Diceros bicornis minor: one gene and its partners. The protein of the gene in region 2 interacts with the protein of the main gene of each other region in a pairwise test. Links are inferred from orthologs where the notes say so. Each region holds a gene or a part of one and is shown on either strand. Other genes may lie near its edges. The genes, in order: DPPA4, LDOC1, SMARCD1 and PLEKHF2.

Region 1 (8,202 bases), on a different chromosome or scaffold from region 2:
CCTCATCTGAACCAGAACCAACTCTTAATCCTGGGCTTACCATAGGCCTCTTGTCTCGATTCCACTGCGTCCATCTTCCCTGCCCCGGCTGCAATTCTGCTCCAGGACGCAAACACAGCATCCGGGGAGGAAGTTGTCACCACAACAGTCTCAGCTCCCTCAAAGAGAGCAGTAGACCCTTGGAGGGTGTGTGCCCCCTCCTCATGGGGAGCAGCCCCTTCAGGAAGACCAGTCCCAGCAGAAGAAATCTTTTTACCACAACTTTCCAGAAACGATTCTCCCTTGTCCATCATCAATTTTCTCTGTGCTCCTGGCAGGATCTTGGCCTCCTTTGCTGTGACAGGAATGTTCTACAAACAGGATTTGAAAGATGAAGGCGCTATCAGAAGGACAGCCTTATTTGTATTACTCTTTGCTCAGAGTTGGTGAAAAGTGACGACAGGGGGATGTGGTTCCTCCTTAGAAGAAGTAGAGGGGCTGACACAATTCCTCTACTTACTGTTTGATGCTAAAATAGGTAATTAGGATGAGAACTAAATCTTCCACTCTGCCAAATTTTCTACAAATTACTCACCTGTTGATTGGGATAAGCATATTCACAGAGTCGCTTATATGCATCTAATTTCTGAGAAAAGAGAAAAAAGAATTAACAATGAAAGTAAGGTCCCTACCCTTTCTCCCAGCAGCATCGTCTCCCAACCCGGCCCTCACCTGGCCTTTGGTGCTCAGTTTCAGTTGTTGGCACCAGGCTCTCAAGGTGTCTCGGTGAAGCATGTTGGCTGGTGGCAGTTTAGAGGGTAATGGAGGAATTGGTGTCCTCTTCCGAAGTCTTACATCCTCTTTGTCTTGTTCCATCTTTTGAGGACAGCAAGCTGAAGGAGAATGGGATGAAACCAGTGCAGTCACTTTTAGCTCTCATAGTCCAATCCCTGTTGTACAGTTCAATGACTTGCCAAGACCACAAAACCGCCAAAGGTCAGAACCTCAAACCTAGGACTTAATATTTCTGAATTGCACACTTTTTGCTTCCTAAAACTCCCCACCACTGATACGCACTTGCTCCTTTGTGAGCTCTGTAACCCACAGGCTCCAAGGAGGGTGCACTAGAGATTGCACTTCCAATCCAGGGAAATGGTAGAAGTTGTAGACCTGAGATCATAAATATTCAGTGGTGCCTTGTCCTCTCACCATAAAACAAAATAAACCACCCAGCAATGCCACACACACCCCACTATTACCCATAATTCTGCCAGCCTACCTGAGTCAGGGCAGCACTCCAGTCTCATTGCACACAGGTCTCCTGCTGTGCCTCACGCACACTCAGCATTCAAGGAAGAATTACAGAACACACCTCCAGAGAGGACACAACTATGACGACTACACGGTAGTCGCTAGGGTTTACTGAGCCCACATTACTAGTCAGGTATAGTGAAGGTGTTTTATCTAATTATTCTATGTAAATTATAACCCACCTTCCACCGGACCTCTGACTCAACATGGTAGGTATTATCCTCACTTTTTAGAACAAGAAGTGAAGTTTCAAGGATGGGATTTCAAACTTACATTGGTCTGTCCCCAAATCACTGCACTTTGAGATCCTTAACTCCATGCAGTGAGTGAGGGCAAAATGATGATCAGAACCAAAAATGTTGTGGGATTTGGAGACAGGAAGAAATCAGTGTTAACAGGGGTGACCAAAAGAAGGCTTCAGGGAGGTGAGATTTAAGCTAGGCCTCGAAGAAATTTCTTTTATTTGAAGAAAATTCTGTAGGATTTGCACAAGAGAGGACGACGTTCCTTTCCTACTTTTCCTACTCCTTCAGAAAAATTCCTCAGGCCTCTTAGACCTGAGGAAATGAGATCTGAGGACTTGTAGACCTCTTACCTTTGTCATCCTTCACAGATCTTTTTCGTTTGGTCCCCCTCATGGAGGCTTGTTGTGCATTTGGTTCACCAGAAGCCTGCTGTTCCTCTTCGGGTTCTACCGACTGAGGTTTCGACTTGCCAGTCATATGTTCTTCCCCTGATTTCTTTTTGGAATTCCACTGGGGATTAGAGGCACCAGTCAGTCATTCCTCTGGTCCCACCCACCACACACACTACCTGCCTCAAGATAACTCACATCCAAGGCACCAAGACAGTCAGCGAACTCCGCTGGCGGTGTGGATTCCTCTCTGGGTGTCGTCTTAATGCCCAGGTTCATTTATAAGATAGGGAAGCAATGATGGGGAAATGGGAGAAGACCAATTTAAAAGTACAAAAAAAGACAGAAAATATGGATACAAACAAAAGAAGTAGAAGAAAATAAGGTCTGCTTTGGGGGAAGTCGTTACATCACCCATGATATCCATCCTCTCTCACCTGGAAGATTTTCCCCCATTCCTTCACTCTTGACCTCTTCCACATAAGTTTCCTATACTATTGCTGGAGGGATGCTATCAGACCTTCACATCCATTCGAAGATTTATTGTTCTTAGCGTAAAGATATGAAGATAAGCAAATGTCTTTCATATAACCCACCAGCCTCTTCTCACAATACTCTCCTCTGCCCCAAGCTCCAGTCAAAGAATTTCTGTCCTTCCCAACCTAGTTACTTTGGCCTGAAGTGGTATCACTCAGCTCCACCCCACCCCACCCTACTTCTATTTACATTCTTAAATGTTACTCCTCCTCCAGAATTCACTTCGAGCGTTCATCTCTAAACCCTTTCCCGTTTTTACAGACCAAGTCAAATCTACTACCTTTTGCCTCATTCCCACCACTGATCAGTTGCAATTTCACATTTGCTTGTGTCATTTGGTCAATGCCTATTATTCCATTTGATTGTAAGCTTCACAAGGGCAGAATTTCTTTCCCTTTCATCATAGGCACTCAATAAATGTTGGTTAATTGCATCAAAAGAAACAAGAGAACAGTGGGGATAAAGTTGTTTGTACAGAGAATCTGACAGTTGTTGAGCCTCTCTCTTCTATTAGGTATTGTTTGACACATTCCTTATTTTCTTTCCTTTAATCTGCACAGCAATCTGGTGACAGTTTATTTGTTTTTCAGATGCAGAAGCTGATGCCTTACATAACTAAGGGTGCGCAGATAGGCACGTTAGATAGGAATTAAATCCCAGATCAACTTGCTCCCAAACCTAATTCCTTTCCATCATCCCCAAGGTGGGAGTACTGGACAAATTAACATTTGTATGGCATTTTTACATTTCTATTGCAGTTTTACATTCGTATTCAAATTTTACATCTACATAGCCCTTACACAAACTACTCACTTTTGGGTCTCACAAAAGTCTTAAAATTGAGAGTGCAAAAATGACCTGGTTCTAGGAAAGAGACCCTGAGAGTGTTCAGGTTTCCCAGGCACGGGAGTTCAGTTCTTCTGGAACAAGCCTCAAAGCCTCTCCACCTCTTGTTTCTGTCTGCAGTGCTTGTCAAGATGTCTGGCTTATATTTCTTGGCCCTAACGACCCTGGGAAAAGAAGATGAGTTCAGACTCAACACATTTGCTTTAGGATCTGTGTCTGTTGAAGGGAAATTAAAGGATCTCGTTCTTTCCCCGACTCAGCTCATATCTCTTCCTGAAGTCTTTCCCTCACCTCCTCCTTGCCCCTGTTACCATTTCCTTACACCCCTGATACTGGATTCTTCTTTCTGATGGGATAAAGCATCTCTTCAAAACCAAAACAGGAAACCCCATTTCTTATTATTTCCTAGCTCCAATATAACAGGTTGCAGTCATATCCAGGACTTTACTTTTTTTTTTTTTAAAGAGGAGGAAATTGAAGGCACATTCTTTTCTCCTCAAAAGAAGGATCAAGTGTGCTCAGGGGAAGAGAGGAATATGAGGAGACTCACAAGGACAGAAAACAAACCCACTAAGATTGTACTTACCTGCTTGCCTTTTGCATTCTCCATACTCAGAAAAGAAGTCAAGGTTGATAAAAAGAAAGTTCTGCTTACTTCTAAAATGGCCCCTGGCCCAAGATTGCTCTTTTAAAAGTCTCCTCCCACTTCCTGCCACCCAGAAGGAACTCTTCTTTTTCTCCTCCCCTCTGTTCCCTCCCCCACAATTTGTGAATGCTAAATTTGTGTACTGTCTTATTCACAAGGCGACTATTGTATGAATGAATTAATACCATTCCTGGCCCTTTTCTATGAGCTTTTAAACATAATCACGTACAGTGTGGTTCAGGTGACATTGGAAAGTTTAAAACTCCTTCAGAGAAATTCCAAGAAGAAAAATAAAAATTTCCAGAGACTTGTGAATAGGATGGGTGAAAGGATTTAATGATAGAACTTGTGGAAACAATAGGATTCCGGACCAGACTGATGGCTTTAAGAAAGCAAAGCTGTTTTCATGTACCATATACATTCCATTTCTTAAGCAAGTTACTCTACCAATTAAAACTCCAGCGTTCCATCTGTGCTAATAGTAACTAGCACCTTCCCATCTGCCAACAAAGAATTATAGTAGTTTTTAAAGTCTATTGAGTATTTATGTACCAAATTCTAGGCTTAAAAGCTCACAGCCATTATTTTATTGTTCTCCATTTTATAGATGACCAAAGTATGTATAACATCGTATTGATCACTTGCTCAATAGCACAGTGAGAGAACCAGAAATCAAGTGTAGGTGGACGCGATTCTATCCCTTGAGCCCTAACCTACTGACTCCCAAACAAGGTCCAGATTCTCTCAAAAATAGTTTCAAAAATCCCTCCTTCTCAGATCATCCTCCCTGTCAAACTGTCAGGATTAGAGATGGGAGGGGAAGGAATTTCCTGGGTTAAGAACCAGTGATTGTGAGATTCAAACCTTTGTCAGATTACAAAGTCTGTGTTGTTTTTCCTACATCTCATTGCTTGCCCTAAAATGATGAAGAAGAAATGATCCTTACCCAGAATGGAGGGGATAATCTGCTCGCAGGATAGAAATACATGGACATAGGGAGTAAGTAAATGGGACCTAGGAGTAGAGAAGGAAGTGTACCTGTGGACTGGGCATCCCGCAGAGCACCAAGGACGAAAGTGAGTATTTAGAATGTAGATCATCTGGGAGGTCGCACCGGGGCTTTGACTGATCAGTTCTTTACTCTGGCTCAGAGACAACAACTGGTAACCAGTTGTCATCTTCCTTTTCCCAGTGTAACTGGAAGTAACGTTGCTGAGACTGAGACATCTAATCCCAGGCAAGGTACAATCTCTAAAGCGTGTATAAACAGAGCCAGTGTGTGCTGGAATTTGATTTAAGAATTCTTAGTCTCATCACCATTTGGGGGAACACAGTTCTAACAAGTTGCACCAACCATTCAAAAAACATGGGTTAGTTGATGTCCTATGTATAAAGAGGATTAGTACAATTTAAAATATTTGAGCATAATTGGAAACGGTACTACTGGGCTCTTGAATGAAGCAAAAAGAAGCCAAATATCTTTCTAACAGGCTTGTGGGAGTTGTGATAATTTATAAGCAATCTTGGGCAAAGTACGATACCTTTCTGCTTTGGTTTCTCAAATGTAAAATAGGGATAACTGTAAATTTATTGTGTCTTTTAGAGAAATAACTAACACAAATTTATGTGTAGTTTCTTATTAATGTTTAGTAGTCAAAAGAAAAACTTTTTATTGCTTTTTAAAAATGTTATGTCAATGCCTAAAGTTCTATCTACCCTGAGTTCAAAAAATATTCATAACTGAATCTCTTATTCATTTATTGAACAACAGTGTGTTGGGTGTCTGCTGTGTGCTCTGCCTGGGAGACACAGAGGTGGACAATGGCAGACAGGGACCCGGCCCACATGGGCTCACAGCTGGGGGAGAGGACAGATGTTAAGCAAATCATATCAGTAACTAATAATATAAGGAAATGCTCTTTTACTTGATTTTTAAATGCATTATATTCATTTATATGTATTATCAAAACCAATGTAAACTATTCAATTATGACACTTGAAAAATAGGAAAGCTCTGCATGTATGACAGCCTGCAGTAGGGGTTTTGACCTCATCAAGGAAGTCAGGAGAGCAGCGGGTCTAAGGACCAGGTGAACTGAACTAACTGAACAGAGGAAGGATCCGCCCAGAGAGACTGCACTCCTGAGGCAGCCCACCTCGGTTCAGGAACTGAAAGGGGCTGCGTGGGGCTAGGAGAGGGAGGAAGAAAATGTAAGCTGAGTCTGGATAGGTTGGCCTTTTGATCTTTAGGCTAAGAACAATGGAAAAATTCAGGGTGGGGTGGGGATGAAGGTGGGAGTGGGGGTGGGCAGATTCTGAAGAGCATTTTGTAAAGATCTTTCAACGGCAAGGAGGAGAAAGATGAGGTGACGGATCAGAGTAAACATGGGAAGGTAGGTTAGGAGGCTACCGAGGCAATGTTAGGTCTGAGATACTGGCAGCTGGAGCGGAAATGGAGAGTTGTGGCTAACAGCACGGACTGTCTTTAAACCTCAGCCTCCCCGTTACCAGCGTGTGACCTCAGGCAAGTTGTCTCACACCTGCAGGTCTCCCTTTCCTCATCTGTAAGACGGGAGTGGTGAAAACACTAACCCTCACTCAGAGGGTTGTGGGGGAGCGAAGAGGGCTCTCCCATGTCCTGAATAAACAGTGTCTAGGGCAGCACGTGTTGGGTCAATGTTAGATGTTTCTATTATTACAGCATTGGAGAGTGTTAAAAAACAAAATTCAACTGAGTAAATGTTAAAGATCTTATTGGCTTTATTCCATGATTCATGAATCAGGCAGCATCCAATCTAGCAGATAGAAAGGAGCTCTGAGGAGCTGTACAAAATGAAAGATTTTTATAGGCAGAGGGGGACAGCAGGAAGGAAGTTGTACTAGACAAAAAAAGCTGGTTGGTTATGCAAGGTGACTTTCCTTTAGGGAGTGGCAGGGGTCTATCAGGCAGATGACCTGACTAGTGCTGATCAGGCGATTCCTGATGGCTGGTGTAAGATTCCATTTCTGGGAGAGCCAAAAGTGTAAGTTAAGTCTCTGTTTGGTGACATGGGGCTTAGCATAAGTGACTCCATTTTGGCCTGTCTTGTTTTTAGCAAGAAGAATACATATTTGAGAGATGGGGAGTACTCCTCCTACGGTTTCTTTTTTCTTCATTTTTTTGTGTATTTTCTTTTCCAAAAAAAATTTTAATTGAATAAAATGAGCTGAGTTAATGAGGCTTTCAGTTGCTTACCTGGAGGCAATGAATCTTCCAAAGTCATTAATCTGCATTTACAGAAGACAAAACAGGATAGTGTCATACATAACCACCATTTCATATTTGATGGAAGGGAGAGATTTGGCGGGAAGTGGAACTGTGGAGGCTGGTTGGAGGACCTGTCTGGATCTCTCCGCGCTGTGTATTCTGAGAAGTCCTGGCTCAAAAGCTGGGCTTTTAAAAAAACTTATATATAGTTCAATTCATATCCAGAATGATTTTACAAGTTTATAACAGTGCATGCGAACACCTCTTTCTCCATATCCGAGAGACTGGTATTTTAAAAAATACACTAGAACTGGACACACCTAATGTATAACAATTTACCTTTTACGTCTCTCCTATAGTGAGAAATCATTGCTTTTTATGGGGTTATTTTATTTTAGAAACAGGTGAGTCATTTAGAAGTAAATCTAGAGAGTAAGGTAGGCCATCAGGTTAGTTAACAACTGGTTAAAAAAGGGAAAAGTTGGAGGTAGATGGTAAAGCTGGTATCTATCATGAAGTTAAACAAACCTAACCTGTTCCTTTGTTTATAAACTCTCTCTTCCAACTCCCCCCCCCATTCCTTCCTTCCTTCCATCGTGTGTTAGGCACTAGTCATAAAAATGTGGGTCTGGTCCTTAATTATCTCACAGTAGGAGGAGTTCCAAACATGTGAGCAAACGTAGTGTTATTGGATTACATACCGAGTTTCCTTAAGCGTCTACCTGACAGAACAGAACATGCTAATCAGGGGCAGGTTCACCTTGAATCTACTGAGGCTTAAGCGTCAGGCACTTTGTTTGCACTGGCCCAAGCCAAGCTCCTGTGAGGACTCTAGAAATTTTGCATGCATAATTTTATATCTTTTTCAAAGTTGCATAAGCTTCAGGCCCCACAGATCTGCCCCAATGATGATTCATAAATACTGAAATGTTTGTGTAACAAAACAACGTTCCTTGAAAATCTCACCTAATATGCTCTGCTTTTGCTTCCCCCTACCAGCTC
Region 2 (7,880 bases):
GTATGCTGGAGAGGGTGAAGACAGAAGGGAGAATGCTGTACTTGCTCAATCCTCTCTCTAGGCCAGAGGTCTCCACAGCTCTCTAGATGTGGTTACTGTAAAAAAAAAAAAAAAAAAAAAGCCTCAGGTGCACCTAGTTAAGGAGAAAGAGTGGGAGGGGGTCTACGGGCAGAGGCCTGGATCTTAGTGGTATCCATTTGACCTTCCCACAAATATCCCCTCCAAAGCTGATTTCTGTTCCTGGCTGCATATTCAAGTGCCAGATTGGTTTACCCAATTTGTACACATTCCTCTGGAGACTGAAGAATCAAGGGGCCGACGTTTTCATGTTTATTTCAGAGGAATTTTACAGTCTGACTGCTAGGTGTATACCAGGTCAGGGTTTGAAGCATGGAAGATGGTGGAAGCAATAAGCATCAGGTATCACTCCATTGGCTTTGGGCCCATGCTCTTGCCAAATAGTGGGGTTCAAACCACCCTTGGGACATTCTGTGCCAAAGCTGTCCTGATGAAGTTTCTGAGCCTGAGATAAGTCATGCAGAGCCATCTGCCTCTGCCCGCAGCGTCTTACACGGGTGTAAGGGAAAGTAAGGAAGATGACGTGCAGCCCTAAGCAGGGTGAATGGAGAAGCAAGGGTGAAGGAAGCGCTGGCAGGCATTGACATTGGTGGGAGAGCCTCATGGGCACCGGGAAGCTGGCTAATGTGGACAGTACAGTTCTACAGTAGTCTCCCCTTATCCATGGGGGATACTTTCCAGGACCCCCAGTAGATGCCTGAAACTGTGGATTGTACTGAACCTTACATATACTATGTTTTTTCCTATACATACATACCTACGATAAAGTTGAATTTATAAGGCACAGTAAGAGATTAACAACAATAACTAATAATAAAATAGAGCAATTATAATAATATACTGTAATAAAAATCATGTGAATGTGGTTTCTCTCTCTCTCAAAATATCTTATTGTACTGTACTCACCCTTCTTCCTCTTGTGATGATGTGAGATGATAAAATGCTTACCTGATGAGATGAGGTGAGGTGAATGTCGTAGGCATTGTAACGTAGTGTTAGGCAATACAGCAGAAGGAAGATCATCTGCTTCCAGATGGCGGTTGACTGTGGGTAACTGAAACCGCGGAAAGCGAATCTGCGGATAAGGGGGGACCACTGTATATACTTTAGTCATACTACTCACCTCTTCCCAACTGCTTCCCCGTGAGTCTCTCGTCCCTCTGTCTCTCCTCCCTCCCTCCAAGTTTGGAAGTGCCTCCCAAAGTCACTGCTCAGCTCTGTACACAGTTCTGGCCAGGGCATTTCTTGTTTTTTAGGAACTCAGAACCCCCTGAGAGGTGATGCTAGCGGTTGCTTCCTATGGTTTCCTCCCTGACTCCCCCTGTCATGGGATTGTAGGAAGAGGACTAGGGCACCATGGGCCTAACCATCTCTGGGTCCCCACTAGATCTTCCTGATTCACGGAAGTCCAGTGCATAATAGTTGTTCAGTGGAAGTGCATGTGCCATCAGAGAAGCTGAGACTGTGGTACTGCACCACCAACATATTGTAGTATTGCTCTCCTGGGTTTAGGCAAGTCTTTAACTCCTGGGTCTCAGGCTCCTAGAGTGCTCATCCTCATGCATGTTCTGTGGGAGGGTCAATGAGGCAGCCCATGTCAATCACCAAATCCAGTGCCTGCCACAGGATGTGTGCTCCTGGGAGTAGAACCCTGGGCATCTCTTCCTGTATTAGGGTCTAGACATGGAAAGTGGAGCTGGACACTGACCGCTGTGCCAGGCAGGTCTACCCTCCACCCTGAGCTTTGAATGGGCAGGATGGCCAGAAACCTACCTCTGACATTTCCTGTACCGTCATTCCATCCACTGAACATTTATGGAACACCTATAAACACTTTCTGATGCTGAAGATGAAAGGATGAACGAGAGAGTGTCCCTGCGTGGCCTCAAGGGGCTTCTCATCTAATGGGGGAAGCTCATATCACTGGAAAGTCCACGGGCTCATATTCCCCCCTACCTGCTCTTTTCCCTGCACACCCTCTGAGCAGTGTGATCCCTCCTCCTCTCCTTACTTGGTCTTGGCCCTGTTTCCCTCCTCTCTCTCAGCCTCTCACTTCCATGGGTGCCCATTCAATTCTATTGTAAAAGGACTGAATAGGGTTTTTTTTGTGTGTGTGTGAGGAAGACCAGCCCTGAGCTAACATCCATTCTAATCCTCCTCTTTTTGCTGAGGAAGACCGGTTCTGAGCTAACATCTATTGCCAATCCTCCTCCTTTTTTCCCCCAAAGCCCCAGTAGATAGTTGTATGTCATAGTTGCACATCCTTCTAGTTGCTGTATGTGGCACGTGGCCTCGGCATGGCCGGAGAAGCGGTGCGTCGGTGCGCGCCCGGGATCTGAACCGGGCCGCCAGTAGCGGAGCATGTGCACTTAACCGCTAAGCCATGGGGCCAGCCCAGAATAGGGTTTTAAAAAAAATTTATTTTGCCATTTTTGTTACATCACTCATCGTTTCACAATGGAGACTGATTCATGATCAGAGATAGAACATATTGGACAATTTGAAGAATATTTTTGGACACTTTATGCAGCTACCATTTCTAATTTTTATTTGAACATCTGCACTCTGAGATTCTTTCATAAACCAAACATTTATGGTGCTTCTACTCTGGGCCAGACACTTTTCTAGACATCAGGGATAGAGCAGCTAACAAAGTAAAGTCTCTGTCCACATTGACTTACATTCTCAAGTGGAGGCAGACTGACAAACACAGTGCTATATATGATGGCTCCCAGCATGATACATGCTATGTAGAGAAATGAAGCAGGGTAAGGGGTTAGAGACTACTGGCAGATAACCGGGTGCTCTGATAGATGAGGTGGTCAGGAAAGTCCTCTCTGAAAACAGTGCGAGAAGGAGTTAGGCAGCTAACTGGGGAGGGAGCTTTGTAAGACAGAAAGGGTAGAAAGTGCAAAGTTCCTGAGGCCAGAGCTACTTGAAATGTATGAGAATCAGCAAGGAGGATGTGGGGGAAGAGGGAGAATCCCCCTCTGCCCTTTTCGTTAAGGTTCTTATGGCTGGCCAAATAATTAACAAGACAGGTTAGCAGGAGAAAATAATACCAAGTTTAATAACATGTATACATGGGAGAAAGCAGGGACACTGCGTTTCTCAACACAATAGCAGAAATTCTCGTCTTAAATACCATGTTCAGCCAACGACAAAGGAGGATGTGGGGGTGGGGGGAGTCAGTTACAGGAGATTACCACTAAAGCACAGTAAACAAGAGTAAGGTTATTATGCAGATTTAAGGCCTCACCTTCCACATTGATAAGCCTCTAGAAATGAGGTCATCCCCCCTCTTCCCAAAACAGAGAGGGAGATACCCTTACAAATGGAGATTTCCCTTATAAATGTAAATGATTGTCTGGCAACTCCTAGCAGGGCCATCCAGAGAATGTGGCCAGAGAGACAGAACTTCTGATAAGATGGGCTTGTTGGTGCCTTTTCTATTGTAACCTCTATCCTACATTATCTTTACAGCCATCATGATAGATCTGTTCCAGGAAGGAGCCACTATGTCAAATTCTTTAGGCAGTTAGTGGGGAGGTCAAATGTCCCTCAGAGAAAACAATCAAGGTAAAGAGATATATTTCAGGATGGCCAAATCTTGATCTCCCACAAGGACAATGTGATTGGAACAGAGCAGGGAACAGGAAGAGGCCTAGGAGATGAGGCAGGGCCTTATATGCCATAACCAAGATTTTGCTTTTTATTTTGAGCAAGAGAGGAAAACTGTTGGAGGATTTTGAGCAAGGCAGTGAAGAGATCTAACTTTTGTTCTAAAGGATTACTATGCCTACTCTGTGGAGAATATATATACACACACACACACACACACACACACACACACACTGCGGGAAGGGAAGAGTGAAAGTTAAGTGATTAGTTGCAGCAGTCTGGGTGAGAAAGGAAGGCTGGGATCAGGGAGGTAGTGGTAGAAGTGACAAGAAGTGATTGAATTGGGGACATATTTTAAAAGCAGAGCCAACAGATTATGTTGGCTCTAGGGTCCTGGATCCAACTCAGTTGTCAACAACTATTTGAATAATCAGGAAGTAGAAACACAAAACCATTTAAAAACACAAGTCTTCATTGTTAAGCAAAGAATAATACCCAGTGGCCAAGGGACACTAATACTAGGACATGAAATAGAGAATCAAAGATAGGCAGGATGCCTGCAAATAGTTATCGGATGATTTTAAAGAACTATTTATATTTCGTTATTTAGACACATTTCTAAAAAAGGATAGAGGTATACAATATTATTTCCCAACTAAAGTCAAATTCCTGTTTAAATATTGTTTTCTCATGAAAGACAGGACCTCTGACGGTCTTTCATAACTCTGAAAGGATGTGTGACTCCCGCGGTGCGGCCAGCAGTGCTTAACAGCTCTCTGGGTGAACGAGATTTAAATAAGCAAGGAAATGTGTTAACAAAACTTCACGTAAATGAAATGTACTGGCCACAGACCCGGCAAGGAACACTGTATTGTGTGAGTCGGCTGGGTTGAACGGTGGTTAATCCTTTAAACTTACGCAGGTTGGCCCGCTCTGACACAGGTCTTAGCGCGCCCGCGGTCCAGGCTAACGAACGCCGCACCCACATCCAGGGCTCGGTCGGGGTCCCTTGCCTTTATCCGCGGGCCTTGAGAACCATGACCCGCCCCGAGACCCTGCCCGCCGCTTCCCTGGCCCCGCCCCCCCGGTCACGTCTCCGCGGCCCCGCCTGCCCCACCCTGGCTACGCCCCCACGCCGCGCCGGCAGCTTCCCTGGCCACGCCCCCTCACCTCCCCCGGGCCGCGGCGGCGCGCCGGCCGACCGTGCGGCTTTGTGGGCGGAGCTTGCGCAGCCGCCGGGTCTCCTGCGCGCACTGCCCTCCGTCCCTGGCCACCGCGCTCCTCCGCGGACACGCACTTCCTGCGAGGCCTCTGTGCGCACCTTAGCCGAGCCGAACCGAGCCGAGCTCAGCCTTGCCCTTCCAAGCCGTTCGCCATGGTGGACGAGCTGGTGCTGCTGCTGCACGCGCTCCTGATGCGGCACCGCGCCCTGAGCATCGAGAACAGCCAGCTCATGGAACAGCTGCGGCTGCTGGTGTGCGAGAGGGCCACCCTGCTGCGCCAGGTACGTCCGCCGAGTTGCCCGGTGCCCTTCCCTGAAACGTTTAACGGCGAGAGCTCCCGGCTCCCTGAGTTTATCGTGCAGACGGCGTCTTACATGCTTGTCAACGAGAACCGATTCTGCAACGACGCCATGAAGGTGGCATTCCTAATCAGCCTGCTCACCGGGGAAGCCGAGGAGTGGGTGGTGCCGTACATTGAGATGGATAGCCCCATCCTAGGTGATTACCGGGCCTTCCTCGATGAGATGAAACAGTGTTTTGGCTGGGATGACGATGAAGAAGACGACGACGAAGATGATGATTACTAGGCCCCGAGACCCTCGGGCCTAGGTGGGAGGGCCCTGCACGCCGCTCCCCTCCCCCGCGCGCCCTCCTGCCCTGTCCGGAGCCGCCGCGCTCCCCCTCGCCCTCCTATCCCCTTTCCTACCCCTGCCCTCCCATTCTCTTCCTCATCCCCCGCCTCCCTCGTAGTGCTTGTCTTTGTTCCAGGAATAGTGAGTGCTCCAGTTACCTGCTGCTGGAGCTGGGGCCTCGCTCTGAAGCGCGCCGCCACCCAGTCTGGCCAGCCCCAGGACCCTCCGCTGCTAATTTGGACTGTGTCCTGAGCCCCAGCTTTAGGGCAGGACCCTGTTACAAACTGGTCAGACTGCGCACAGCCCTGCCAAACTGCCAGGCCTACATCTGCCCAGAGACTTAAAGCTGCCACTTCACCGTCGTCCATCACATTCCAGTGACAGACCACCACCTTTGGAGATAAGAGTCAACCTAGAAGATGCCTGAGTTGGCTACACCTCCTCGGACAATGATTTGTACAGCTCACCAACCTTTAAAGGGCCAGTCTTGCAGCCTGGTTAGTTCCCTACCTGCTCCCAGAGTCCTCCCTTGCCCCACCAAATTGCTGCAGGGGCCTAGTGTGCCTGGCAGCCAAATTGTTGACATTTCTTTTCTCCTAGGCACCCGTTTTGCACAGCTGTTATTTTTTTTCCAAAATTGCAGCAGTCCCACAGATGTGTGCATTTGGACAAAAATACTAAAAACAAACAAGAACAGGCACTCGGCCCAGCTCCTCAATACTACCTGGAAAAAGCACTTGTTCTTTTCAATAAATATCAAGCACTACTCAAAAAAGAAAGGAGTGTCTTTTAATGGTTAAATGCCATCATTGGCCACTACCTCTCTCACTCTGACTCCCATTGTTCCCACTGAGATCAGGGAAGTTAGTTCAATGCCAGTATTCCCCACTGTCATCTCTAGGCTACAGAGGACATCTACCACAGGACTTTATTGGGATTCTGGTGCTCCCCTCACCAAGGCATTTCTTAAAGCCCTGGCGAAGGGAGTGTTCTCTGGAGCCTCCTGGGTGACATGGGTAAGGGGTGACTGAGCAGGTGGCACACCATCCCAAACTGGGACACTTTTGAGAGTGAAAGTGACACTATTAATAATTAGACTGGGACAACAGGCATAAATCTGGACACATACAATATTCCTATCTTCCTGAGCCTTTGGGTTCCTTCCTTAACACTGCCAGGGAGGTTCTGTGCCTTAATTCTTATTGCCTGTGGAGTACTTTTAAGTTCAGGCTGCAGTTAACAACGTAGCACATTGTTTTAATGCCCCTTTCAGGCTCGAGCTAAAATTAAATCCTGGTTCCTTGGTAAGTGCACCGGTAATAAATAGAATCTTAACATTTCATCCTCCTTGGGAAGACACCCTTAGAATCCGCACCCATACATATGCCCCAGGTTCCTGCCTATGGAAGTTGGCACTATGCCTGGCTATCTCCTGAACTAGACCTTGTACTGCTATCTGGGCTATGCTGAGATCTCTGTGGCCCAAGAGGGCTCAGAGGCATTGAGAGAGTGGGGTGGGTGCTGAGAATAATGCGCATACCTCTGTGAGGCCATTACTCCAGGTTAAGTCATTGAAATGTTAAATCAGAGAAGCTTGGTTGGGGGATTTGTGGGGGCTCCCTCTGCCAGCCAGGCACGTTCAGGAGGATTTGAGGAGTTCAGAGTTTTCATTCTCATCTATATCTGCTAATGTCCTCATTGTACCATGCCTGGAGGCAGCCCTACCTTACGACCTCTAATTTAGACAATAAATTTCTTTATTGTTTAAGACCTTTTGAGGCTGGGTATTCTTTTATTTGTACTGGTAAACCTCACTGTGGATTAAATGAGATACTAGTCATCATACTGGTCACCTCACAGATCACGTCCATAAGGTATTTAGAACTGTCTCTGCTATATGGTGAGCACTCAGTAGACATGGGCTATTACTCCCAGCCCTGGGAACTGAAGTCTTGCTTGGGAGGCAGGTCTCTTGCTATGAGCTTAGCTTTAGTAGGAAAATGTCAGGGGTGAAGAGGAGCAGAGCAGGCTGAGGGAGAGTGGAAATGAGAGCATGACAAGACCTCATTTACTCTTTGGGATCTGACGTGAACTCAGATAGAAAGCCAGTTTACTTGGTAATAGGCAAAGTCCGGGGCAGGAGTCATTTCTCAGGTCTGGGAAAGTTGTTTCTGGAGAGTAGGGACAGGGGTGGATATTACTTAGCAAAGGAGGTTGAGGCCCAAACGAGATGGATGTGGGAATGTGGTGAGGAAGAGCTGAAAGCTAGATAAAGGACCTGGTGAGATGAAAAATCAGCCATTCAAAATTATTGGTGGTCCAGGTA
Region 3 (7,346 bases), on a different chromosome or scaffold from region 2:
GAAGAAGGCCTATGAGATTGCAGGGCTCCTGGGTGAGCTGCTGATGGCACCTGTCCCCTTCCCATGCCATGGGCATGGAGTGACACCCTACCATCTGAAGTGTCCCATGAGCTCCTCCTCCCCTGCGATCCCCCGGGGCCTTTCCCCAAACTCTGTTGTCTGGGTATGTGGTGGGGGGAGGAAGATGGGCTGTCTGTTAGAGCAAAGTTGAAGAGGCCTGTGGGCGTGAACATGGGACTATTTCATATGCCCTGGAAAATCTGCCCAGAGAATAAGAGTGTTGGAGTATTTTGTAAACAATTATTTTTTTCTGAATAATACCTGTTCACTTTAGAAAAGTAGAAAAATGCAGGGCCGGTCCCATGGCTTAGCGGTCAAGTGCGCGCGCTCCGCTACTGGCCGCCCGGTTGGGATCCGGGCGCACACAGACGCACCGCTTCTCCGGCCATGCTGAGGCCACGTCCCACATACAGCAACTAGAAGGATATGCAACTATGACATACAGCTATCTACTGGGGGGGCTTTGGGGGAAAAAAAAAAGGAGGAAAAATGCAGAAAAGCATAAAGAAAATAAAAATCCCACCAGAATTGCTTTGTGCGCCTTCTATATGAAGGCTGTTGATGCTTTTGCAGGACTTGCCTGCCCCTGTCCCAGTGAGCTCTGCTGCTCCCTCGGTGTCCTGACCCCACTGACCTCCCTGTGTCCCCCATGCAGGTGACATTGGGGGCCAGATGGGACTGTTTATCGGGGCCAGCATCCTCACGGTGCTGGAGCTCTTTGACTACGCCTACGAGGTAAGCGGGGGTGGGGATGGAGGTGGGGCCACGAGAGGGGCAGGGTTCCAGTCCGCCCACCCCTCCACCCCAACCTCCCTCCCAGGTCATTAAGCACAAGCTGTGCAGACGAGGGAAGTGCCAGAAGGAGACCAAAAGGAACAGTGCAGACAAAGGCGTGGCCCTCAGCCTGGATGACGTCAAAAGACACGTGAGAGAGAGAGACAGGGGCGCCCTCCAGCCCTGCCCCTTCCCCCACCACCCTAGGACCACCCCCCCCCCGCCCCCGCCACCTTTTCTCCTTTGCCTCCCCCACTCCCCAGCGTCACCTGTGGCCCTTCGGATAACCAGTCGCTGTCTTGTGCTGTTCCCCCAGAACCCGTGTGAGAGCCTCCGGGGCCATCCTGCTGGGATGACATACGCTGCCAACATCCTACCTCACCATCCGGCCCGAGGCACTTTTGAGGACTTTACCTGCTGAGCCCTGCAGGCCACTGTACCAAAGGCCTAGATGGGGAGGGCTAGGAGAGCAAGGGGGCCCCCAGCTGGCCCCCTGCATCTGCCCTGGGGACTCACTCCCCGCTCCCGAGGCAGCCCCCAACTCCTGGGCAGTCCTTTCCTCTTGTCTGTGGTGAGGAAAGAGTCTTGACCATAGAGTCCTCTCCCTGCCTCTCTCCCATTCTTGTTATTTTTAACAAAACTAATCTAAAAAAGAAACTAAAAAGAGAGAACGGGCAAGTGACCTCAGGCTGCCCCTCTCTGCTCCATGCTGCCTCCCCTAGCTCCCAGCCTGAATTCTGTCTGTCTGGCTGTCTGTCGTCTGAGTGTCCACCTACATTCTGCTGCCACCAGTCACCAAAGCCCCCTCCCAGTGGGGGGTGGAGGGGATCCTTGGGGTCTGGAATTTGGCCCCAAACCAGAGAATGTACCTTGAAGGGGAGGGCTAGTGGGGGGGGACTTCCCCAGCCTTAAGAGACCCTCTCAGCCCACTGACCCCCCCCCCCAACCAAGTCTCCAGGCAGGAACTAAGACCCTAGTCCCCCCAACACCACCATGTGAAGTCTCTTGGGAGGTGGGGGATCCCCTGAAGAAGTGGAGATGGGGGCAAGATGTGGCCCTGGTGCTCTGGCCACATCCTGATACCTACAAGTTCATCCCCACCCCAGAGCTGCTGGAGAGAAATCCCAAGAGGCAGCCCTCCTCTATCACCCATAAAAGATCCAGCTAGTTGGCTTCCAGCTCAGGGAGAGGGGCACTGGTGCCTAACCTCACTGGTCCCTCTCCCAGGGGCCCCTGCAGAGGGCCACATCCATAAATTTTCTTATGGAACTCTCCCAAGTCCTTTTCCCCAACTTCATTTGCTTCTCTCAACAACCTCATCTGCATTTTCTATTTCTATACGATACAGACTCTATATTGCTATATCTCTGTATATACTTTCCCCTAACTCTGTCTGTCTATACCCCATCCCCTCTTGTCTCTAAGAACCATCTTTCCACCCCAAGTTCCCCTTTCTGTGTTTCTGCCCCCTCCCTGGTCTCTGAATGCCTTCACCTGTATAAAGAGTTGGACTCTCTCCCCTGGTGTCTGTACTGTGTACACACATCCCTCTGAGAAGCACAAGGAGACGACACGCGCATTGTAACCTTCGCACTGTCTCGGTGGCGACATAAAGGAAGCTGTGAATCACAAGCTCTGCCTCTTTCTGGCCTCACCGTCTTCCCCCAACCCCAGGCACCCTCTGCCCTCCCTGCAGCCTTAACATTCCCTCCCCTGCTCCACCCAGCCCAAAGTCCTTTGCCTGGCTGATGGTGGCCTCCCCAGGGAAGGAGTTGCTGCAGAGAAAGCCCTCACCCAAGGGATGGAGATCTGCTCTGTACACTAAGGCAAGGGTGTCAGAGACAGAGGAAGCTGTGGATTGGTAACTCCTGCAGCTGGAGCGGTGCAGATGACAGGCAGAAGCTGAGGTCCTTAGTCAGTGGCCTTTCCCTCCTTCTGGGTGCACAGCCCCCTTTCCTCACCTGACATCCAAGCCCACCACTTATATTTTCTGGTGAGGTACGGTTTGGTAGTGGGAGGAAAGAGACAGGCCTAGAGGGGAGCTTGAAAGCTCTGCTCTTCTGTCCTTCTCTTCCTACGTTAGTGAGAAACATAAGTGAGGTAGAGGGCTCGCCACGCCCCCTCCACCAGACACTCCTCCCAGGCCAGAACCCTCCCCCTTCCCAGAGCTTCTCTGCCCAGCTGTCTCTTGGTCTCCAACCCCAGAACAGGAACTGTAGTAGGTCACCTGTGCATTGGCCTGGTGCTGGAGAGGGAGGCTGTAGGATCTTTGGGAACTCTTAGTTTGTAGGAGTTCCTTAGAGATCAGACCTCTCCAGAAGGAAGCAGGAGCATGGCCAAGGGGTGTGCACCAGATGGGGAACAGCAGGCAGGGCTATGGGGGACGCATGCCTCTGGTCTAATAAACTGGGTTTCAACCATCTCCTCTTCAGTGTCGTTTTTCTCTTATTTGAAGAGTATTTAGGCCTTCCCACTAAGTGCTTAGAGCTGAGTTTGGCTTGGAGCCAAACAATCAGGGGAGGAGTTAAGGAGGCTTGAGCAGGGAGACCCTGGTCCTCCTGGGGTGGGACAGGCTGACCATCACACCAAGCATGGTTTGAACCACTGGGCAGGGAAAGAGAGGCATCAAAGGCAACAAAGATCCCAAAGAGAAGTCCTATCACAAAGGATTCTTTGGAGAGGGGGCAGGGTCAAAATTCAAAATAAACTTAAAATCTGGAAGCAGGTTAGGTTAAAGTTCAGGGACAAAGTTGGGTTGAAGTTCTAGGGTGAGGTAGTTATTGAGGCACTTTATCTGTGGAATGAGTCCCAAGCTATGAGCCACAAGATCTGGATTCTAGGCTTCGGCTCTACGGCTAACTTGTTAGTTGACCTTTGCCAAATCATTTACTCTGAGTTCAGCTTTCGTGTTTGTCAAATGGAATAAACAGTGCATTCTCCTCTTCAGCCCCCCGGGCTTACAAACAAAAAACAATCAAAGCGCTTTGGGAAGTTAAATGCACCGCGCCAAGATGAAGCAGTCACTCCATCACCCTCTTCCTCCGAGCTTTGGGGCTGGGGCTGTGGTCCCCTTTCCAGTCCTTGTCTTCCTCCCGTCGCCTGGGGGCGCCCCCTCACAGGGCCTCTCTATCCCGAGTTCGTCTCGATGGTTTCCCCTCCCGGACCGTGAAGGGGGGGAGGGAGTGGTCAGCACGCCTTTTCCGCTAGTCGCCCCCCTCTAGCCCACAGTCTCGCTGCCCCCAGCCTCCCGTGCCGGCAGGCCGGCCGGGCGGACAGACGGGCGCGCGGGGGGCGCGCGGGGGGCGGGGGGAGTTCCGGTTCCGGTTCTTTGTGCAGCTGCAGCCGAGGCTCCGGGGAAGATGGCGGCCCGGGCAGGTTTCCAGTCTGTGGCTCCGAGCGGCGGCGCCGGAGCCTCTGGAGGGGCCGGCTCGGCGGCTGCTCTGGGCCCAGGCGGGACTCCGGGACCTCCTGTGCGAATGGGCCCAGCGCCGGGTCAAGGGCTGTACCGTTCCCCGATGCCCGGAGCGGCCTATCCGGTGAGTGGGGCGGGAGGAGGGGCGCGCGGGCCGGGGGCGGGGCCGAGCGGGGGCCTGGGAGTGACAGGGGTGGGGGAGAAGTAGGAGGACCTCCCCTGGGAGGGATTCGGGCCCTGAGTGGGGGTAAGGGGAGACAGTGCAGAGGAAAGGAGGGGAGGCACTTAGCATCCCCACCTGCTTCTAGGGGTATTGTTTCCGTGGGGAGTCAGGGTATAGAACCCGCGGGATGAAATGGTGGGCATATGAGGGCTGGAGTGCAAAAGGGCTTGGGCAGCTCCAGTGCCCACAGGAACACGGAAGGTGTAGCTGGCAAATTGAGGTCAGCTACAGTGCTGAGTAAATGTAGGACTAGGAGAGCTGTCCAGTGTGTCACATAAAAAACTGGCTGGGGAGAATTTGAGTATAATTTGATTATCTCTTAGCTTTTGGGCTGTACTCTCCTATGGAATCACAACTGGAGCAGAGGAAGCTCCAGTTATGTTTTAAAGAGGGAGAAGGCTCCCCTCCTGTTGTGCTCCACCCCACCCCCAGCCTTGTTTCATTCAAAGAACTCAGCCATCCCCCACTTTACCTTTATTAGTGGGGTTAGTAGGGGAAGCCATGACATCTCTGGGTCCTCTCCTCTCTGTAGAGACCAGGTATGCTGCCAGGCAGCCGAATGACACCTCAGGGACCTTCCATGGGACCCCCTGGCTATGGGGGGAACCCTTCAGTCCGACCTGGCCTGGCCCAGTCAGGGATGGACCAGTCCCGCAAGAGACCTGCACCTCAGCAGATCCAGCAGGTCCAGCAGCAGGCGGTCCAAAACCGAAATCACAAGTAAGATGCCTCAGGGCAGAGGGAGGGAGAAGGGAGGAGGAGAAGGAGGAGGCCTGAGGCCTGTGAGGACACAGGTGGTGGGAGTACCTGAACCAAGAAGCAGTGGTGCTGTGTCAGCAGATGGGTGCTCATTCTTGAGAATGCCTCATGTTGGTTGGGGGCAGGGGGATGTCTTTGATTTGAGAGAAGCTTTGCAGTCTCTCTACTTTACTATAAATGGAGGTGCTGACAGCCTGTTTGCATGTTCTGGCTAGTTCCATCCCAACCTGATAACAGTATTTATTCTAAACAGTGCAAAGAAAAAGAAGATGGCTGACAAAATTCTACCTCAAAGGGTGAGTCCAGGCTTTAGGTCTTCTTGTGGGTGTGGTGGGTTTGAGAATAGAGATGGTCAGCTCTAGATCCCAATGATATCTTTCTGTTTCTAAGATACGTGAACTGGTACCAGAATCCCAAGCCTATATGGATCTCTTGGCTTTTGAAAGGAAACTGGACCAGACTATCATGAGGAAACGGCTAGATATCCAGGAGGCTTTGAAACGTCCCATCAAGGTAACTCGGGAGAGGGCTAGACAGAGAGCCAAAGGCGAGGACTCGGGAACCTTCACTAGGCTCAGGATGAGAAATCAAAGGCGCAGCACAGCTCTCCTTGGCATTTAAATTATATCTCTCCCTTCCGCCTACGAACTGAGTGTTACATTAGAAGCATGAGAACAGATAGCAAAGGGGGAGGGGCTTTTGATATCTCTTGCACCAGAAACGTACCCTCTCCGGGTTTTTGCTTTAACAGCTCTGCCGCCTTAGGAACCTGGCACCTTGCGTGAGTTTGTCCACCTGGCATCCCAGTGTATGCACTTGCACTCAGGCCAATGGCCAGTACTCCTCTTCTAGATGGACTCTCCATCCACCCACCCCAGGGACTGGGTAGACAGTACTCCTGTTAGGAGTAATTTTGGGGTTTGGGGAGACCCTTGTCTTCAACATCAAACCACTGAAGCCCCACCATCAATCCTGTTTCTGCCTTCCTCAGCAAAAACGGAAGCTGCGAATTTTCATTTCTAACACTTTCAATCCGGCTAAGTCAGATGCCGAGGATGGGGAAGGGACGGTGGCTTCCTGGGAGCTTCGGGTAGAAGGACGGCTCCTGGAAGATGTGAGTTCAAGGTCCACTGTGGTTGGCATCTAGGGTGGGAGCTGCTGGGAACAAGCAGTGTTGTCTGATTGGCAGGAAGCCTTACTGGTGCTCACAGCCCTTGTTGGGAACAGCAGGGAGAGGTCACAGTGTTCCTGTACTAAAAGACAATGGTTCTTTGTGTCTGGTTCCCACAGCTTGGCCCTCACTGTGGTATCATATCAAGAACGTTATTGTCCTGGGATTTGATTTGTTGTTTACCTTCCTCCTGATGCCGCTGGCCATTGGGATGTAGCAGTATCTGCAGATTATTCAATTAAGTTTTGTTTTTTTTTTTTTAATCAAGTGAGTTTGCACTGAGCATTTGAGGCCATGCTTTCCTCTCTGAGTCCTTGATTCCCACTGGCATCTCCATCTTCCCAACTTTCATTGGAGACATCTCACAGTTTAAGTGGGATAGATTTCTCTGACAGGCTCTTTGTTGCTTCGTGGGGAACATGAGCAGACAGGTGATAGCCCCCAAACTTCCCACCCCAGAAGCTCCTTGGGGAATCTCACCTTTCATTCCCTTACACTCTCTGGCTCTCTATTTTAGCTATTCACAGGCAAGCTAATTTGAATGCATTTTTGCAGGAGAACCAGGGCTCAGTGTCAGCCTCCTTCTTTTCTATATAGGTCCAGTCCATCTGCTGGTGGTGTCATTCCATCCAAAGAAAGCTGTTTTTGTTCTGGCTGCTTACTGCCTGTGATTCATTTCCCCTCTAGAGTCAGACTTTTCTCTGTTCAGACTCGCTTTGTTATGTGCATCGATTTGGCTTAACTTGCCTCGTTTCTCTTGGGGAAATGAAGTGAGTAAGTCAGCGACCCTGTACATGTTATAGGCTGCTTCTTCAGGGTTCTTTTGCTACTGTGACTTGTTTAATACCCACAGATACCTACCTTGCCATTTCCTAAGAAATACTCAGATGACATTTTTGAGTTTTTCCCCATTGTTGTTCTGGGTTCCTTTTTTATGGGACTTTGTC
Region 4 (7,864 bases), on a different chromosome or scaffold from region 2:
AAAAACTTAATACAGTGGTCTAACTTGGCAGGTTGCATACTTACTTTGAGCTAGTTTTATGGAAGGTAAGCTTACTCAGTAACTGCTTGTTGAGGTTAATGTTTTATTTGTCATTTACAGGAGGTAATGTTGAGGAATAAGGCATTTGTTGTATAATTTCCCTCTACTGGCAGGGAAGGTAATGTGCAAATAATTTAGGAATTTTTTATAGAAGAAAGCAGCCATTGTGTCTTTTAGGGTATGAGTACTTGAATATGACTTATACCACTTCATTGAAAAACTTACCCATGACTATGCCTTGTGTGTTTTTTAAAAAAATGAAACAATACATACTTATTATAGAAGTTTAGTAAAATATAGAGAAGAAAAAGAATCATGCACAATACTACCAAAGATAAAAAATTAATATGGTTGTATATTTTATATGTCTTTTTTGTACAAAAGTTTACATATTTTACATGTAATTCACTAATCTAGCTGGAATTTATTTCGTGTACAAATTGATCTAGACTTACGTTTCTAAGACAGAGATGAGCATGAAACTAGTTCCTTAGTTTCTGATATGACAAATAAATGATATCCCTGTTAGAAATATGTAAACTTAGTTTGGAATGAGGCAAATTCCTGATCAATTTATATCCATTGTTGGGAAAATTCATAGGATTTTTGATACATACTAGGTTTATATGTTAAAACTCCCAAGGTCAAGATCAATCTCTGCCAAGAAAATTTGATTTGTTAAAATATGGATAAGCTTCTCTGTTTAAATTTAAACCTCATTTTTTGATTCTAAGGTAAGATAGCTTGACAGATGGTTAAATGAGCAGTAGTTTGAGTAATATGATTTACAATAAATCTTTCAAGAAATGAATTTAAGTGCCTGCCAAAAATCTTCTTGAATAACTCCCCAAGCTTAAATTCCAACTTCTCCAAGAGACATGTGCAATAATTTTTTTTTGAACAGATGTTATTTTTAAGAGCAGTGTGTGTCAGGTTCAGAGCAAAATCGAGTGGAAAGTACAGAGTTCCCATATATCCGCTCCCCACACGTGCACAGCCTCCCCAACTATCAACATCCACACCAGAGTGGTACATTTGTTACAACTTGTGCACCTACATTGACAGGTCAATATTACCCAAAGTCCATATTTGCACTAGGGTTCACTTGTGGTGGTGTACATTCTATAGCTTTTGACAAATGTATAATGACATGTATCCACCATTACAGTGTCACACAGAATAGTTTCACTGTCCTAAAAACTCTCTGCGCTCTGCCTGTTTATCCCTCCCTCCCAGCTAACACTGATCTTGTTACTGTCTCGCAATATTTTCAAGGGAACCTTCTATGTCATTTAATTGGGAAAATTTTCTAAATGATCTTCTAAGAGCTGACTATAAGGCTCTCTGATAAGACAGCATAGAACTATATTTCCACGAGTCCTGGGGCCTTCCTGCTTCAAAGCAAAAATTACTGCAATTTGGGGATATAGTTATAATCTGGGTTATTCTCCTTACATAGTGAATTTTTATAAGGAGTAAAATATCTGTTCCCACTTCATGCAGCCAGGATCTGCAGCAAATGTGATTGTGCCAAACTGGTCTGTAGGACACAGTGGCCAGCAAGCCACATGTGTCCTATATTTAAATGTTTAGAAAGACACCCTGTGTGTTGTAGGTTATTTTCCCATAGCCGGGGAGCATCTTGGCTGCAAGAAGAGTAAATTCACTTTTTGTTCACTGGGGAATTAGAAAAAAGCATAAAAGTATTATTTTTTAATCATATAGCTATCAGTCTGGGCCTATTCTGAGACTGGATATTTAAGACAACTATCCCAGTTTGTCTTGCTTTATTCAGTATAGTTTATTTAGTGCTTTTTTTTGGGGGGGGGGGGAGATCAGCCCTGAGCTAACATCTGCCAATCCTCCTCTTTTTTTCCTGAGGAAGACTGGCCCTGGGCTAACATCCATGCCCATCTTCCTCCACTTTATATGGGATGCTGCCATATAAAGTGCGTCGGTGCGCGCCTGGGATCTGAATCAGGGAACCCGGGGCTGCCGCAGCGGAGCACGCAGGCTTAACTGCTTGCGCCACCGGGCCGGCCCCTTTAGTGCTTTATTATATATATTTTTTAACTTTTTTCTTGGGGGGGAAATAATTTCAAACTTACAGTTTGCAAGATAGAAATAGTACCAAGAGCATCCATATACTCTGCTCAGATTGACCTAACATTTTACTCCATTTTAAAAATCATTTATATAGGTGGTTTCTCTCTTTTATATATAATATTTAAATTATATGTTATATATTTAAATTTTTTCTGAATCATTTGAGGGTAAATAGTTCAGTGTGTATATCCTAAGAATAGAAATGTTCTCTTATATAACTAGAACAGAAAATTTAACTGTGATACAATTTTATTTAATATTCTGTTCATATTCCACTTTTGTCAATTGACCCAAAAATGTCCTTTATAACATTCTCCCCTTCTAGTATAGGAACCAGTCTAGGGTCAGGTATTGTAATTAGTTGTCATTATCTCTTTTGCCTCTTTATTCTGGAACATTTCCATGGCCTTTTTTTTTTTTTAGAATATAGCCCCCATCCTCCCTTTTAAAAACAGGATATTAGTTTTTTTGGGTTTGTCTAATATTTTCCCAGAAGTCTAGGGAAACAGCCCCCAATGATCTGAGCTGCCTGTTTGAAGATATACTGGAGAATAATGGTTTCCCCTTTTCTTCTGCCTTTCAGATCTAACACGTGTCTCCCTTGGCAGAATTTAACCTGGAACCATTTAAGGAAAAGTCCTCTGGAAAATAGAGTTCTAGGCTTTCTCCCCGCAGCGCAGAGGAGAATGTAGAAAGGGGTGGCAATAAGGCTAAGTCGACCACTGACAAGGTGGCACACACTCCTGTCCTGTGAGGACCTGGGGATAGAAAGGCAAGAAGACAGGGAGCTCCTGCCCTCATGGAGCCTGCCGTCTCCAGGGAGATCTATAAGTACTGTGAGGGAAGCGCACACCCGCACTGTCTCAGGGCACAGAGGCCTGAAAGACGACAAGGGGCCACAGCTATGCAAAGGGCAGGATAGGGTGGGCTTGTGATTGTCTCGGTAGAGAAGCAGCCAGGGCAGTGGGCCCCATAGCAGAAAAGAGCTGGGTGTATTTGAAAAGTGACACAAGGTCAACGTGACTGGACTTGGGTGGAGCTTGGTATCTTTTTAAGGTGGAGAGGATGGCAGACGCTGGGTTGTGCTGGGTCTCATAGGACCTAGTGACCAGCTGGCATTTTGTTGTAAGTGAAACAGAAATGTTCCTACTCCATATGGCACCTTTGGGCAAATTAGAAAAAGGCATCCATTCCTCAAGGCGTTTCCATCTTGTTGGAAAACGGTTGTAAAATACTTTTATTAGAACAAGGCACTTTACTGAAATCTGCCAGAGAATATTTGTAATAAGTATAAAATTTTCAGTGCTCCAATGTGAAAGGACTCTTCCATAGCGTTGTTCTACTATAACTTGTACAATTGTAATTGGCAGCCCCAGTGGGGAGCCATGGAAGGGTTTCTGCAGGCGAGTGACACAATCCTATGTGGTCCCGAGTGGAGGGGAAAAGAGAGGAGGAGGCGTGTTTTAGAGGCAGATTCTACAATATGTTTGAGGAAAAGGGATAGGATGAAGGCGACGGAAGAGAGGATGGGATGGTGATGACTCGGTAGGTTTGCAGATTTCCACCTACATGTTTTGTTTGAGGTTAGTATGCCGTCCCCCCCGCCCCCCCCCATTCCTTGTCTATCCTAGGCATCTTTGGTATCTTCTCCACGTACCCAACAGCACGCTTAGCAAACAGCTGCTGTGGTATAAACGAAAAGGGCAGATTTAACCTTACATACTATCTTGCATTTTTCAGGTATGTGAAGTAGGTAGATGAGGTTTTGTGTCGCCAGAGATAAGTTTTGGAAAGACCAGAGTTCTAAGGCACAGAATAAAGCCAGTCGCTTAAAAGAAAGGGCTGCTAAGAAGAGTACCTGGGGGTATGCAGGTGTATTGCCACCGCAGCTCCCTCGGTTTCAAGAGGCAGGGGTTTTAGAGAAAGCAAATGGAAGATGTGACGGGCAGGATCGCCAAGGTAAGTGGAAACAGGAAACAAATATCTGCCTAGACGCCTTTGGGCATCTAAATCCAAAGCCTTTCCTTCCCGGCTGCGGAAAGTTCTTGAGTGCCGTGGAGATGCCCGTTCGGTGAGGAGGCAAAGGGGGCCTAGCCTTCCTTCAATTCGTCCAGTCTCCTACAAGAACTACGTAGAGAGATGAACAATCTTTTCCAAGAGCTCGCCGCAGCCAGGCGGGCCAGGTAAGGAGTCTCACCTGCACCCAAAGGGCGCCGGGGCACGCGGTCCCACACTGCGCGGAGGAACCAACCGCAGGCGCCAGCTGCCCAGGTGGGTGTGGCCTCCGCGGTGGCCCCGCCCCCTCGGGCGCGTCGCGCGGGGCGGCACGGGCGGGGCGAGGGAACAGGCAAGAAAGGCGGGGAGCGGGCGGTGTGGGTGTGCTCGTGCCCGCGCGCTGGCGTGTGGGCGGCGGCGCGCCCGTGCGCGCGCAGGGGAGCGGCCAGCGCCGGCGGCCGTTGTGGGGTTCGACTGGAGGGGCGGGGGAGTCACCTGCGAGCGGCTGCGCCGGCCGGCCGCCCGTCCGTCCTTCGCGTCTGGATCTGGCCGGCTGCGCGCGGTCGCGGCCGCGCACACCCTGGGAGGCCGGGGCGGGGAGCCGGCAGAGTCCGCGCCCGGCGCCTGGGACGAGGAGCAGTCGGACTTTCGCCGCCGCCCGCGCCTGGCCGGGTAGGTGAAGCCCGGGTTGGTTGTCCGCCGGCCCCTGGCGGGCCGGGAGAGGAGAAGCGAAACTTTCCGGGCGCTTCCCCTCGCGGTCCCTGGCCGTCGGCGGCGCGGGGAGGTGTCGTCGTCGCGGGCGGCGGCGGCGGACGCCATGTTGGGGTCTGTGAGAAACGGGGCGCTCCCGGGCCGCTCCCCTCGCGCTGGGGTCGGCCGGCGCCCGCCCGCAGGACGCGGCTGCCGCCGCCGGCAGGCTGCGGGGCCGCCCGGGGGTCCGCGCTCCGCGGGGCGGGGCCGGGCGGACGCGGGAAGGGGGCCCCGAGGTCGGGCGAGAAGTTGCGGGGCGTGAGGAGTAGGGATCCAGTCGTGGCCGGTGGCGTCTTAGGGCCCCAGCATCTCTCTGTCCAGAAAGTTTGCGAAGTCTGGGCGTCAGAGACGTTGTAACTCGAATAGCATATATTTATGTGACTTGGGGCAAAAAATGGCACCGTAGAATTTGCTCGGATAGGCGATGGCTCTTACACATTATTCATTTTGGAGTCTTTTGAAGTTTCATGGTCTTTTGCCGAATTTATTTTTCCTTTTTAAAATCTTTTTGAAGGCCGAGAGCTTGCTGCTCCCGTGGCCTGAAGACCCTGTGTGCTTGTGCACCACAGCAGTCGCTTGTGTGCGCGAGGGAAGGGGGTAGGGTTACGGGGACGGAGAACTGAGCCTTTCTCTGTGATTCACGGACTCGCCAAGTGTGGAAGTTTTTAAATGCCTTCTTTGTTGTGTTTTAGTACGTTACTGAAGAGACTCATTAAAGAAAGATTTAGACACGAACGTTGACTGAGGGACTTAAAGGTGTGTGTTGTTTTCTTAACAATAAGGTGAAGTGATCTTGACATTGCGAAATTTTTTTCCGCTCCCTTCGGATCCTTGAAGGTGCGTGCCTACCATGTTTTGAGCATTTACCTTTTTCTGTACTCTGGTAGCTCATGGGATCCTCAGGTTGATTCACAATTAACGAAGGCTTCTATTTTTATCTGTTCGGGTCCTGACAGCGCTGGAGAGGTGAAGAGTATTAAGTTACTTATTTGGAAAGCACATAGAATCGCCTCAAAAAGTAAAACTGATATACTGACCAAGGCATCGAAAAAGGTTCAACTTGAGTTACCCCAGTAAATGAATGTATATTACTATTTTTAAGTAAAGACATCTTCGCTTTAAAATTCTGTTAAATGAACTGAAAGGACTCTTAACCACAAATAAGGTCAACTCTAAAACATGTTTTGGAGAATTTCTCTTCTTAATCTACAGGTAAAAATATAGGTTTTGCTCAGATTTGATTGCTAATTTCCTTAAATTCTTAAAAAAAAATTCTTTTTGCTTCATTGTCAAGTAAATGCCATTATATATGTTTGTTTTTCTGGGTGAAGAGTTCTCTAGAAATGAGGTGACAGCTAACTTCACAAATCTAGCAGGCAAGCTGGTATTTAGCTGAGCTCTTATGACTCGGAAGCCTTCTCATTTTTCTTATAGCTAACTGTGTAGGATACATAACTCATTCCTGTGGAGCAGTCTCTGTCCACCTTGTTTGCTTTGTCTTTGCTGCTCTTTCCATCTTTAATTTTGTTCCTCAGTCTACTTATCTCCTAGAGAGCTGATTTACAAGGGTTCTTGTACTGAAATTTTTCCCCTTAAAAATACTCACTTAAGCTAACTGTACTCTTTGAAAAGCCTTTTCTGCCCTGTTCTCCTTATCCCACCCCCTTTGTCTCCCCAGGAATTGGTTCGCTTCTCCCATGGCATCTCCATACATATTACGTTGACCTGCCGTGGCACCCCCTTGACAGCAGACGTTGCATGGGGTCTGATTTGCCTCTCCCTCCCCAGTGTGCAGAGAACATAGCAGATGCTCAGGAAAGGTTTGAATGGATGAGTACACATATGCTCCTTGTAAATATACTTATTGAATTTCTTACTAAAAATTGCAGTTTCGATGGGCATAGTACTTAAATCTTCTCGAATCCTTTTTTTTTTAATTTTACATTGGTAACTCAATAAGTTTTGGCCTGGGGATACAGAACTTGCATGTTTATGAAATTTACAAGTAGATAATGGACTGAAGTATAATCAACAAAGCAGCAGCAGCCCTGGTTCAACAAAAGGATAATCATAATTTTAAAGTGCAATTGAATTTATTTTCACTGGAGGGAGATAGAGTTAATGCCTGAAAATTTTGAAGGTCGTGTTTATACATTTAAGCTCTTTGATAGAGCAAATCTCATTTCTTTATCAATTATTGTTTTGTCAGAATTCTCTTAGAATTTTGTTTTAGAATGCCTCGCTTAATGGAAAGCATATAGAAATTGCTTTTCTATTGATAAGTTTATCTTTGAGAACCAGCTTTGTACACAAGCTGCATGTTTCATAGCAATGTGCATGTTGGCGTAACCAAATAAAATATACTTCATAGATATGCTTTCAGAGGGCTGTTTTAAGTTGCAAGACCTCTCTAGGTGAAGGTGTTCTGTAATTCTGTAACAAAATTATTGTAGAATTTAGGGTTAATTCCCTGCCCAAGATGACTTTCTCTTCAGTCAATCTATAAACCACAGACTGGTGTGCGCAATTTGGGAGGTCCTGAGAAGAGAAGGCATTCAAGAAGTTGCTATGAGTGCTCGAGAAAGCAAGTTGCATGTAGGGTGGACTGGAACAAAAAAAAGCAATTCTGAATCCTAGTTCTGCTCCTTATTAGCTTGTGACTCTTGAACAAGTTTCTTCACTTCTGTAAGCTTCACTGGACTCATTTGTGAAATGGGCACAGAAATATTTGCCTCATAGTGTTGTGAGGATTTACTAAGCTGTTTGTGGAAGTGCCTGGTGCATGATATTCATATTCAGTAAGTTATATTAACAAATGAACAGAGTGGCAGTGAATTATATAGAATCATAGAATTTTAAAATTTTAAAAGGGAAGCAACTTTTAGAAATACCTAGTTTGGTTCTCAACCTTGGCTACACATTATAATTCCCTGAGGAGCTTTTTAAAAGTACT

The links.
Region 1: the proteins of LDOC1 (region 2) and DPPA4 interact in binary tests that used the Homo sapiens proteins (3 or more experiments, as listed by UniProt). The two-hybrid records come from large-scale screens. The link is inferred for Diceros bicornis minor from reciprocal best matches to the Homo sapiens genes LDOC1 and DPPA4.
Region 3: the proteins of LDOC1 (region 2) and SMARCD1 interact in binary tests that used the Homo sapiens proteins (3 or more experiments, as listed by UniProt). The two-hybrid records come from large-scale screens. The link is inferred for Diceros bicornis minor from reciprocal best matches to the Homo sapiens genes LDOC1 and SMARCD1.
Region 4: the proteins of LDOC1 (region 2) and PLEKHF2 interact in binary tests that used the Homo sapiens proteins (3 or more experiments, as listed by UniProt). The two-hybrid records come from large-scale screens. The link is inferred for Diceros bicornis minor from reciprocal best matches to the Homo sapiens genes LDOC1 and PLEKHF2.

What each region holds. Positions count from the first base shown.
Region 1 is NC_080754.1:12,450,382-12,458,583, forward strand, and holds the start of DPPA4 (developmental pluripotency-associated protein 4), read right to left. Parts: upstream 3,269-8,202; 5' UTR 2,407-3,268; coding exon 2,362-2,406; intron 2,186-2,361; coding exon 2,123-2,185; intron 2,046-2,122; coding exon 1,886-2,045; intron 873-1,885; coding exon 712-872; intron 626-711; coding exon 575-625; intron 351-574; coding exon 41-350; intron 1-40. UniProt on the Homo sapiens protein: May be involved in the maintenance of active epigenetic status of target genes. May inhibit differentiation of embryonic cells into a primitive ectoderm lineage.
Region 2 is NC_080781.1:128,281,108-128,288,987, forward strand, and holds LDOC1 (protein LDOC1), read left to right. Parts: upstream 1-4,941; 5' UTR 4,942-5,074; coding exon 5,075-5,509; 3' UTR 5,510-6,051; intron 6,052-6,154; 3' UTR 6,155-7,324; downstream 7,325-7,880. UniProt on the Homo sapiens protein: May have an important role in the development and/or progression of some cancers.
Region 3 is NC_080756.1:19,739,311-19,746,656, reverse strand, and holds the start of SMARCD1 (SWI/SNF-related matrix-associated actin-dependent regulator of chromatin subfamily D member 1), read left to right. Parts: upstream 1-4,155; 5' UTR 4,156-4,193; coding exon 4,194-4,370; intron 4,371-5,001; coding exon 5,002-5,189; intron 5,190-5,481; coding exon 5,482-5,524; intron 5,525-5,618; coding exon 5,619-5,741; intron 5,742-6,219; coding exon 6,220-6,342; intron 6,343-7,346. Other genes in the region: ASIC1 (acid-sensing ion channel 1), read left to right, coding at 1-32, 716-795, 881-985, 1,151-1,255. UniProt on the Homo sapiens protein: Involved in transcriptional activation and repression of select genes by chromatin remodeling (alteration of DNA-nucleosome topology).
Region 4 is NC_080760.1:14,328,363-14,336,226, forward strand, and holds the start of PLEKHF2 (pleckstrin homology domain-containing family F member 2), read left to right. Parts: upstream 1-4,615; 5' UTR 4,616-4,833; intron 4,834-5,603; exon of another isoform or gene 5,604-5,748; intron 5,749-5,867; exon of another isoform or gene 5,868-6,123; intron 6,124-6,589; exon of another isoform or gene 6,590-6,762; intron 6,763-7,864. UniProt on the Homo sapiens protein: May play a role in early endosome fusion upstream of RAB5, hence regulating receptor trafficking and fluid-phase transport. Enhances cellular sensitivity to TNF-induced apoptosis.